Linked DNA regions of Tribolium castaneum. Each later gene encodes a partner of the first gene's protein in a complex. Links are inferred from orthologs where the notes say so. Each region holds a gene or a part of one and is shown in the gene's direction. Other genes may lie near its edges. The genes, in order: Nipped-A, YL-1 and MRG15.

Region 1 (4,167 bases):
CTCCCGAAAACCGGGGAATCCTGCAATCGCTGGGCCCCATCTGCGCCTCCTTCGGGATTTTACTCACTTACACACTTGGTTACGTCCTCTCGTGGTCAACTGTTGCTTTTTTGAGCGTTTCATTTGCTTTATTTACGCTAATTGCGGTCGAGTTTCTTCCGGAAAGTCCCTCGTATTTAATTAAGGCCGGGCTTCACTCCAAAGCTTTCGATAGTTATTTTTGGTTTCGGCGAAACGTAGCTTTGGCACAAACCGAAGTTTCTAAACACGCTTCAAGTGAGAAAATCGAAATTAGCGCCAAAGAAATCTACTGCAGTGCTGCCACCATTAAACCGTTCCTCATCCTTGTCACTTTGTTCTTTCTCCAACAATTATCGGGGATTTACACGATTCTTTTTTACGCTGTGAATTTCTTCGAAGAGACTGATCTCGAACTGGACAATTACGTGTCTTCGATCATTGTCGGGGCGATTCGGTTCGGGATGTCAATGGTGACTGCGATTCTAGTGAATAGGTTCGGCCGTCGCCTACTTTGCATGGCCTCGAGCGGGGGGATGAGCGTTGCAATGTTGGCAATGGTCGTTTATTTCAAATACTACGAGATGCATGCGGGGGAAGTACGGGTTTTGCCGGTACTTCCCCTGGTGTGTGTCGTCTTCAATGTGATGTTCTCCATGGTGGGGATGCTCCCGATTCCGTGGATTCTGGTCGGGGAGTTGTTCCCGCTGGAAGTTAGGTCCATCATGAGCGGGATTGTCATCTGCATAGCGCAGTGTTTTGTCTTCCTGTTTGTCAAAATCTACCCTGATATGATCGAACATTTGAATTTCAGCGGCACTTTGATGACTTTTTTGTTGGCAGCAGTGGTCGCGCTGTTTTTCTGTAAATTTGTGTTGCCCGAAACTAAGAACAAATCCTTGCAGGAGATTGAGGATTATTTCAAACGCAAGAAGGTTTTGGATGGGTTTGATAACCAAGGGTTTTGCCCGGAAGTGATAAAAAACGAGGGGATTTACACGGTGCAGATACAGACATGACGTAATTACTTTCAACTAGTTGGAAAAAACTTAGTTCTTATAGAACCGACGGTGATTGATTGTACAAACAACTATTTTTGTATTTAATTGATGAATAAAATTATTTATTTTTCGACTGTGTTTGATTGGTTGCCTACCACAATTAGCCACAAATATCTGGTTTTTAAGCCACAATACAAGCACAATTAAATTGCTCGTTTTTTTTACAAATTGTGCTAGTTTTTGTGTTCCGATTTTTCGGCAAAAAGGCCAGAAATTGATAATTCCAAACAACATGGCGCAACTCTAGCCACTTCTTCACCTAGTTAACCGTAGCCACTTCCCATTCATTCATCGTGAATATGTTTAAAACACGGAAAAAAGTGTTCCAGTGTTAGAAAAACGTGCAATTTTCGAAAAAGTTAGTAGATTTTGGCCCAATTAAGCGATACGTTTTTTACACGAATGAAATGCGTCAACTTTAAGTCGGTTATCTGATTGTTTTTTTTTGGAGGTTATGTTGTTCATTCACTTCTCAAATTTGAACGTTTTTTGCTCGTTTTTTCGGCAAATTTTGAGCCCCGGCTTTACGTTTAAGGTTTTAAGATGTAAAAAGTGAAGTGGGCCCCAAATGCAGTCAAGTTCTTCGACCATGGCGGGCATCGACCCCCATACGACTCAAATGAACCAGTTCAGGAGCTACGTCACGATGTTGGGGGACGCCAACTGTAAGGACGTCCTGAAACTGAAAGCCACGCAGGAAATTAGCAAAAATTTCGAGGTATTTGCGGTCAAAACCGTGAAAAAATGTCCCTGAAAGTGGGCTTTCAGATCATTCTTTCGTCGTCTCTCTATCAGAGTTTTTTGGACCACTCTGTGAAAATCTTCCTGAAAATACTACAAGAGGGCGATCCGCATTTTATCGCCGAGTATAACATACAGCAAGTGCGTAAATTAATTCTGGAGATGTTGTACAGACTGCCAACGAATGATCTTCTGAGACCTTATGTTAAGTCGATTTTGTCGCTCATGTTGCGCCTTTTGGAGATTGATAATGAGGAGAATGTTTTGATCTGTTTGAAGATTATCATCGAGTTGCATAAGCAGTATCGGCCGGCGTTTAATCCAGAAGTGATTTTTTTTTTTTAATTAATTTTGTTTGAGATTTAAGTGGTTTTTGTAGATACAACATTTTCTCCAATTTGTTAAGTCAATTTATTCGGATTTGCCCAATCATATGGACAAGATTTTTGAACCTAGGGCGCCAATTAAAGTCAATAATTTAAATGAGTTGAACATTGAGGAGTTACTTAAGGAGACGTTCACAATGACGACCATACAAACTGAGAAGAAGAATAAAGATGACACTTTAGTCACGGTATGTTTAATTTATTTTTTGCTGCAATAAAAATTTACAAATTCTTAAAAAAAACGCCGATTATGTGCTAACATTTATGTATTAAAGAATTTGAAACAATTTTTCTCTTTTAAAAAGGAGCTATATCGTCTGGAAATACCTAAATGCACCTTATTATAGCATTTGTCTCGTTTAAAGAAGTTGATTTTTAACGAATTTTTGTTAATAAAATCGTCTAAATTCCCAAAATTACGTTTATTTTGTGTTTTTTTTACTTGTTTTAATCTATTAAAATCACTGTTTTAAAAGTTTAAACATAGATTTTAGCGAGATTTTGTTAAATTCGGCCAGAAAACTACAAATTTATGTTGAATATGTTTTTTTTTGGGCAATTATAGTTGGAAATGTAGTAATTTTTTTTGGATGTTAAGGCATTTTTTTGAGATTGAGACGCAATTTTACTGAATCGGTTTGAAATTTCATTAATTTGGTTCGTAAATGTTATTATTTCGCCGATTTTTATTTAAATTTCGTCAAAAAATGATTCGAAAAATTTCAAATTTTGACATTTCTTGAGTATTTTTGAGTTTTTCGTTTTTTGTTTTGAACGAGATATCGTGGAATTTAAGCCACAAGGCCACAAATTAGGTAGTTTTTTTAATTTTTTGGTGCGTTTTTGAGTGTTTAAGTACATTTTGAGATTAAAACTAAGATTTTTCGACAGAAAAAAATGTTTCTCTTGACTGTGTAGAATTTTATTGAATTTTATGGTAAAGGCTATTCTAAAAAAAAAAAAAAATTACAAAAACAATACAGAAAATTACATAATTTGTATGAAATTGGTTTTTATGAGCTAAAAACTTGTATATAACATTAAGTTAGACTTGGTCTTTTTCTTTTGTTTAAAAGGGCCAAAAAGTGTGAACAATTAACAAAAACCAATTAGTTTTACATTTAAAATAATTAAAGTAACATATTTTATTAGAACAATTTTTTGGCGAATTTTGACTTTTTTCGGTGATTTTTTTTTCAATAACTGAGTTTCCGATGTAATATTGAGCTAAATAACTCACTCAGGATTGATTAAAATCATTTAATTTTATAGTACAAGTCAATGAAACATAAAAAATGTTGATGTATTTTTTTGTTATTTTATTTTATTTTTGTATTTTTTATTTATATCTTTTTTAAAGAGGCCAAGATAAGGTAAATAATTAAAAAAATAATGAATGACACGTTAAATGGACAGAAATAACATAATTGAGACTAATTTTGGCAATTTTTTTGATTTTTTTTTGGTGTTTTTTTTAATCAGTGAGTTTCTGTATTTAGAACTTAGAATTAGTTGAAATCTGGATAGTTTGCGAATAATGTAAACGAAAACGAGTAAATGAACGTAATTCTTTTTGTTATTTTATTACGTGTTCTTATAGATACTTTTTTAAATTATATTGACATTTTTATTCAAATAAACAGACAAAAAGTGGATAGTGAAAAAATTAATTAATCACATCAAAATTAGTTTCTTTACTAGCTGAAAGCTTGAAATTATATAATTTAGTCCAATGTTTTTAATTTTTTTCGGTAATTTTTTTAATAAGTGTGTTTTCGTATTTTAAAGGCAATTATTTTGAGAAACTTTGACTTATCTAAAGATTTTTTTATTAACCAAACAGTGCTTCTTACGATTGTAAATTAGTATTTTTAGATTGAATTGCACTATTTGTGTATAACATTAAGTTACTTATTAATTGTTGACGTTTTTTTTACTTTGTCTTTTTCTATATTGTTTTT
Region 2 (3,896 bases), on another chromosome or scaffold:
AAATAAGGGTGGTAATACCTGGAGTCGTCACTTGTTGGATATTGGAGTTCAGGAGGGTTGTAAATGTTGTAAGTCTGGGGGGTTTCGTAAAAATACGCTTCTCTGTTTTTGTAAAAATGGTAAGCGAGGACGCCAACACCCACGATGGCCATGGCAAAGAAGGAAAATCCTTGGAAAACCATCCTGGCACTAAAATTCCCAACAAACTTACAAACCCAATTTTGACTTATTTAATTACGGTCAAAGTGTCTTTAGGGTGCAGGCTAGTTGTTTGATGTCTGCTTGCTTCACAACCACTTACGAATATCTTACATATTGAGTGTAAAGCTGATAAACAGGGTTTTGTTATTGTCAGAAATAACTGTCAACAATATTACATAACCTAACAACTTTCTTTCTCTGAAATCGGAATATTCGCGGTTACAGTAATTTTTCACTTTATTTTTACAAAACTTATTGGCTGGGATTAGTAATACACAACAAAAAATGGTTCAAAAAACTTTATTTTTGACCTGTACATTTTCCTTTCATTCAAATTACAAGAAAAAATGAAAAACTATATTCTACAAGAAACAATGAGACAAATAAATTAATATTCTAGTCATTCTACAATTCTACATACAGTTTAGGAAACAATAAATGTTAAAATTCGGTTAACATCCTGAAAGGCACAAAATTGTACATATTGCTCATAATAATTGTCATGATTTCAGTTGTTTTAATTAATCAAAGGTTATTTAAAAAAATAGGAAAAAAGCATGAGTGTAGCTGTAATGCTGTTCCTAATGCTAATAAACCTAGGATATGTTGAGATTTGTTAGCTGAGAAAAATTACTGTATCTTAGTTTATGCACATTTGCGACAAACTGGACAACTTCTGTTTTCTTTGAACCATCTTGTGATACACTGATCATGAAATTTATGTTTGCATGGTAAAATAATGCCACCATCACCTTCAGGCAATGGTTCACAACATATCACACATTCCGGAACCGAGTTTCTTCTTTTTTTTCTGTAAAAAGGTGTTTTTGTACGTTGCAGTTACATAATAAGTTACTCACTTGTTCTTTCCTGTATCTGCTGTATCTGGTGTTCTTTCCTGTACCCTCGGTGTGTACACATATGTATACTTATTGTCGCTCTGGTGACAAGAAGCTGTGTTGTTTCTAGCAGTGTAGACTTCATATATGGCCAACCCAATTGCAAAAACCATCGCAGTCATAAGAACTATGCCTTGAACTCCCATCTTTGTTTTCTCTTTTTGTAACGGAAATGTGGCTGGCTATTGTAACAATTACCTACCTTTGCAACAGCAACGTCAGCAGCAGCTGAAGACGACTTATTGATAATTCTGTAATTCCCCTCGATTTATCAGGACCACCAACAAAAAGACGAGAAATAACTCATTTTCACCCTTTTGGTGGGGTTATTGCGGAGGAAAAAATGAGATCAATTCTAAAAATATTCCCACACGCACGTATTTATTCCATTCATTCATTGTAAAGTGCCAAAATCTTTTTTTACCAAAATACGAAAGGACTCGAACGCTTGTTGCAGTGACATATGAAACTTAGCTATTGGTACTTACTGATAATTCTATGGTATCTAGCAAAATACTAACCTTAAAATTTCGCAGTTTGACAGATGGTGTTTAGTGCTTGTGTTTTTTATTTAATTAGGAAAAATATTAAATAAAAACCATTTACTTTGTAATAAAACTTATCATTGGTTTGTTGTCCCTGTCCCAGGCGAGAAATTCGTTACAATGGCAAAAAGAGAAAAACGGGCAAATGCCGGTAACCGTATGGCAAAATTGTTAGATGAAGAAGAAGAATGTCAAGACGAATTCTACAAAACCAATTATGGTGGTTTTGAAGAAACCGAATCCGATAGGGAATACGAGTACTCACTTCTGATTCATTTTGTTCCGTTTTGTTATGGTTTAATTGCAGGGAGGAGGAAGAAGGCGAAGATGTGGTAGATTCCGACTTTAGTATTGACGAAAATGACGAACCTATTTCAGACAATGAGGAGGAGGGTCAGAAGAAGAAACGAAGATTAGTTACAAAGGCTTACAAGGTAATGCACGATTATGACGTTCGATTTTTTGTTAATTTTTATCTGAAACATTGTAGGAACCAGTGCCTGCACCCAGTAAACAAAAAGCAAAACCAAAACCCACAAAACCTGTCCCTAAAGTCAGAACAACCCAACATGAATCCACAGAATACGGTTTGAAAATAACGAGTTAGTTAATAATATTTGGCAACAAACGTGTTACAGAAAGAAAGTCAATCAGGAAGTCCACAGCTGCAAAATCAGCCGCAACAGCACAACGCATCAAAGTACGAAATCTCGAACAAAAGAAAAAAATCAAGAAACCGAAAGAAGAAGAATGGGTGCCAACACAGGAAGAGTTACTCGAAGAAGCAAAAACGACCGAATTGGAGAACTTGAAGTCACTTGAAAAGTACCAAAAGATGGAAAGTGAGAAGAAAACGAAACGAACTGTGAAAAAAGTCATCAATGGCCCTGTTATCCAATACAGATCAACACGAATGCCAATCATTGAGGAAATCAATCAAGATAAAGACATCAAGAACGAATCAGAAAACGTGTGCGAACGCACGTTTATCTCAGTGCTTAATGACCCTAACGATGCCACATTTAACAGCATTTTTGAAAAAAAGACAGCGCGTCCGCTTCCACGACGTCTCAGATGCATTGTCACAGGGTAAAAATAGCTATTTATATGTGCAGGGGCAATTCTTGCTCCCGTCACGTGTACAGGGTGAGTCATTGATATGACATACACCGTCAGTGGTATCGTATTCTAAAATTCTTTGTCCGATAATACAGTCTTCCATTTTTACAGTGCAGTCTAAACATAATTTTTTTAAATGTCAGGGGTTATTTTTTTATTTTTCTACAATTTAATCTGCAGGCATATTACAGTGACTCACCCTGTATATATTTTTTTCGCCTAATTTGGAGGTGCAATGTGCACAGTATGTCTTTCCTGTCTAGGGAGGAAAAGACATAGTTTGCACTTTTGAATTAGGGAGCAAAATATTTTCTAAAAAGCGACGCATTTTTTTATTTTTATTTATTTTGTGTTTTCAGTCACCTTGCAAAGTACGTTGACCCTAAAACGTGTCTGCCTTACCACAGCAGCATGTGTTTGAAGATAATTCGTTCTGCTTATTACCAACAACTGGAAGCTCATGGAGATAAGAGTAATCCAGTAGTTGCAAACTGGCTTAAGTGGTACGTTAAGAATAAGGATAAGTTAAGGAGGGAGTTGGCGTTGAAAGTAAAAACACATCAGGTGGATCACAGTTGATTTATTTTGCTCTATTTAATAAATTTTTATAATACAGTTTCTATTTCTTTCAAATAAAACTGTTTTGGTCTGAGATCAACACGATTAAATGTTAGTGAATGAGTTTGCAACAAATTTGGACGAATGAAAAGCGTCGAAAACGTTTAGTTAATATATTTATTAAACTGGTGCACAAATAATACATTACCATAATCTCAGTAGCCAATAATTTGGCTGAAAATTGGCTTATGAAGTACAACAAGAATTAATAACATTAAATATTATTAATATGACACATAAATTACATCTAGTTTAACATATCATATAAAATTAATAGGTATTTGATAAGCTACCTCATTAATTAATGCCATTATTACTTTGTTAAAATAATTTTAGCACTTGAGTATGAACAGTGTATATCAAAAGAGTAGTTCGATTAACAATGCGAATTTGTTAATAGATTACTGTTTTAATATACAATTCGTTAAAACTCTGAGAAAACGAAATTAATCTCTAATCTAAGTACAACATAATGTAAATATTTATAATAGTTAAAAAATCTTTAAAGTACTCT
Region 3 (3,172 bases), on another chromosome or scaffold:
AATGTCAATTTTTGTTTATAAGTCGAAAACAAAAGACGATCGGGAGATGCGGTTTTGACCCGAGAATGTGTCTCTAATTTTTCTCTAACCTCTTAATTTCGGACACCCAAAAAGCAGCACCCTGTACAAACGAACAGTACCTTAAAGTTTATTTGTTTAAGATGCACAAATTTCGGGGAAGTTTCCCGCTAGGGGCGCCCCACACGTGCCAAAATAGGTCAGATAGACAGAGTCACATACAATGTTTCCTTCCGGTAACAATAACTGATCAAAGTGGCCTGTGATTGGCTCGGGCCACTTTGATTCGAAAATTAATACGCGCCATCCAAGTGGCCTAGTCACAACCCAACAAATGTAAAACAAATAAATTACCGTATCTCTGACTCAAAACTGGCCTTTTTTCCCTTCCCCTCACAAAATCCGACTAGCGATATTCCTTTTATAACACGTTAGACTGCACAGCGGTGCATTTGTCCGCGAACAGGAGTATTTTTTCACATTGCCACAGCCCATGCTACACAGTGTGGCTTTCGGGGGCTCTTTGCCCCCCGCCCCCGGCAAGGGCCAGTCCATCCCTTGCGGGAACGACACTGTCGTTAACCCAACATTCTGACGGTACAAAATCATGGGGGTTTGCGCTTTGGTGATTTTGTTTTTCGCCGCTTTGGCCGCCTTCGACTCCTGCTTTTTGAGCAGCCTTTCCATCGTCTTCTTCTTATCCTTTTCGCGCTTTTCGTCCGCCAGTTGTTTGCGTTTCTGCGACTTGATCGCCGCTTTTTGAATCGCTTCGGCCGTCATGACCTTCTCCTAAACCAACAAGTCTAAACTATTTGAATTGAAACAAACTGAATTACTTTATATCCAGTCGGGAGCGACATTAACGTGGGGGTGGTCACAGAGGGGCTCCCGTCCACCTCACGCTCGTACATGGCGCGCTGTCGCGCCGTCATCAAGGCCGGGTCCTTCGGCTTGATTTTCTTCAATTCGTCGTCAACATCCTCAAGCTTCCCGGACTCGATGGCAGTGAGCCACCGTTCCTCGTCACTTGAGGCACTGTCGCGTTTTTTGCGCTTTTTATTACCAGAGGACGATGCGGACGGGGGCTTGTTCACCGGCGACTTGGTTTTAGCACCAGACTCGTCCACTATGAGCAAATCACCGGAGGTGTCGTCCTCCGGCAAAGGGGGCCTCCGCTTAACCTTACTTTTCTTCGATTTCTGCAACTCTAAACCCACGATAACACGATCAGGGGGCACATTTAAACAAACTCACCCATTCCAAGCCAAATTCAAACGCCGTCTAAAGCTAGGTTATGTTGACAAAATGGCGTGACCGTAGCCACTTCTGGCTTGTAATCAATCATAATTAACTAACCCTGGCACAATTTCGCCCCAAATCAATCATCAAGCAAATAAATGTTTCACAAAATACAATAAATAACAAATAAAGGCACCGGGACGCGTTATAACCGGCACAAATGTGCCGGTAGCCACAACCAACTGTCAATTGTCAAAACAAAAAAAATTGTTTGAAGCCGAAAATGCCCCCCAAGTTTAAATTTTCCGAAGGTAAGACACGTGGTCGCCCCCTTAAGCCGCCCAAACACCCCTTTTCCAGGCGAGAAGGTTTTGTGCTTCCACGGCCCGTTGATTTACGAAGCCAAATGTCTGAAGTCGACCATAACCAAGGACAAGCAAGTGAAGTACTTTATCCATTACGCTGGTTGGAACAAAAAGTGTGTAAGTGTTTTCGGGGGGCCTTGTAATTGACAGTCGTGTGTTTGCAGTTGGGACGAATGGGTGCCCGAAAGCCGTGTCCTCAAATACAACGAGGCCAACGTTGCGAGACAAAAGGAGGTGCAAAAAGCCCACTCGACTCAACCCAGCAAGACGAAAAAGGCCAAGAAGAGTAAAACCGACGCCACGAAAGACATTGACTCGAGATCTAGTACCCCAAATAATGAACTGATCAAAGGGGGGAAGAGCAAAATAAGCACACCGTCGAGTGGGCAAGACTCGGGTTCAGACGTGCCCCGGAAGAAAAGGGGGCGGTTGGACCCCTCGGTCGAGTCCGAGGAGCAATTTTTGAATAAGGTTGAAATCAAGGTTAAAATCCCTGACGAGTTGAAACCTTGGTTGGTGGACGACTGGGACGTAATTACCAGACAACGAAAACTCGCAAATTTGCCGGCAAAAGTCACAGTCGAGCAAATTCTGGACAACTATCTCGCTTACAAGAAGTCAATCAAGTCGAATAATTCCAGCAAAGAGTCGGCTACGATTGAAATCGTCAAAGGCATCAAGGAGTATTTTAACGTGATGTTGGGGACGCAACTTTTGTACAAGTTCGAGCGGCCCCAGTACGCCGATATCTTGCAAACCTACCCCGATAAGCCCATGTCTGAGGTGTACGGTGCCACTCACTTGCTCCGTCTGTTCGTCAAGCTGGGGGCCATGTTGGCGTACACGCCCCTCGACGAACGCAGCATCCAACTCCTGCTCCAGAACATCCAAGATTTCTTGAAATATCTGGTCAAAAACAGCGCCCAATTGTTCAGCCTGCAAGACTACGGGAACGCCACACCTGAATACCACCGCAAGGCGCTTTAATTGTGATTATTTTATTAAAAATAATAGAAAAGCATTAGTCGGTTTTTAAAAACGGGGCCCAACTCTCGCTGGGGGCCTCGGGCGGGGCGACCCACCCGAGTGGAATAGCCGAGCCTGAGGCGTTCCCCGGACTTAGAAACGTGTCCCAACTTTTCCTTATGGCGATAAATGTCTCCAAGTCGCGGTCGGCGCTCGTTAGAGCCCAGAAGGTGGGGTTGTTGACGGGGGGGTCTCGGGGGCCGAATAGGAGGGACTCCCAGTCGTCGACAATGCGGGTTTGTTTGGCGGCGATCGCCGCTTTGGAGTCCTTACTGGCGTTGTGTTCCAGCATCACTTTCAAGCATTGCTCCTCTTTGCAGTAGCTCTGGTACGAGTTCTCCCACATGCGAATTAGTTTCTCTGAAAGTTTAGTTATGTAGAAGTGTTTGTCTTGTTTGGCCAATTTTACCCGTGACGTGCCCGAAGGCCTGCCTGTCCTCCAGCGACAACTTGTCGCCCCTTTGCGTGGCCATGGCGTCTCTAACCGTCCGCAACTTAACGAGCGCGGAAATGAGTGAGAGTTG

The links.
Region 2: Nipped-A (region 1) and YL-1 share a complex: the UniProt entries of both Drosophila melanogaster proteins name them as parts of the tip60 chromatin-remodeling complex. The link is inferred for Tribolium castaneum from reciprocal best matches to the Drosophila melanogaster genes Nipped-A and YL-1.
Region 3: Nipped-A (region 1) and MRG15 share a complex: the UniProt entries of both Drosophila melanogaster proteins name them as parts of the tip60 chromatin-remodeling complex. The link is inferred for Tribolium castaneum from reciprocal best matches to the Drosophila melanogaster genes Nipped-A and MRG15.

Annotation. Positions count from the first base shown.
Region 1 is NC_087401.1:16,699,266-16,703,432, reverse strand, and holds the start of Nipped-A (transcription-associated protein 1), read left to right. Parts: upstream 1-1,309; 5' UTR 1,310-1,437; intron 1,438-1,614; 5' UTR 1,615-1,647; coding exon 1,648-1,797; intron 1,798-1,847; coding exon 1,848-2,147; intron 2,148-2,199; coding exon 2,200-2,394; intron 2,395-4,167. Other genes in the region: facilitated trehalose transporter Tret1, read left to right, coding at 1-1,037. UniProt on the Drosophila melanogaster protein: Part of the Tip60 chromatin-remodeling complex which is involved in DNA repair. Upon induction of DNA double-strand breaks, this complex acetylates phosphorylated H2AV in nucleosomes and exchanges it with unmodified H2AV.
Region 2 is NC_087397.1:8,922,023-8,925,918, forward strand, and holds YL-1 (vacuolar protein sorting-associated protein 72 homolog), read left to right. Parts: upstream 1-1,619; 5' UTR 1,620-1,765; coding exon 1,766-1,902; intron 1,903-1,952; coding exon 1,953-2,079; intron 2,080-2,135; coding exon 2,136-2,232; intron 2,233-2,283; coding exon 2,284-2,734; intron 2,735-3,123; coding exon 3,124-3,343; 3' UTR 3,344-3,379; downstream 3,380-3,896. UniProt on the Drosophila melanogaster protein: Part of the Tip60 chromatin-remodeling complex which is involved in DNA repair. Upon induction of DNA double-strand breaks, this complex acetylates phosphorylated H2AV in nucleosomes and exchanges it with unmodified H2AV.
Region 3 is NC_087400.1:991,316-994,487, forward strand, and holds MRG15 (mortality factor 4-like protein 1), read left to right. Parts: upstream 1-1,429; 5' UTR 1,430-1,540; coding exon 1,541-1,568; intron 1,569-1,617; coding exon 1,618-1,735; intron 1,736-1,786; coding exon 1,787-2,609; 3' UTR 2,610-2,643; downstream 2,644-3,172. Other genes in the region: INO80 complex subunit B, read right to left, coding at 412-807, 855-1,225, 1,273-1,276; uncharacterized protein LOC657630, read right to left, coding at 2,644-3,008, 3,058-3,172. UniProt on the Drosophila melanogaster protein: Part of the Tip60 chromatin-remodeling complex which is involved in DNA repair. Upon induction of DNA double-strand breaks, this complex acetylates phosphorylated H2AV in nucleosomes and exchanges it with unmodified H2AV.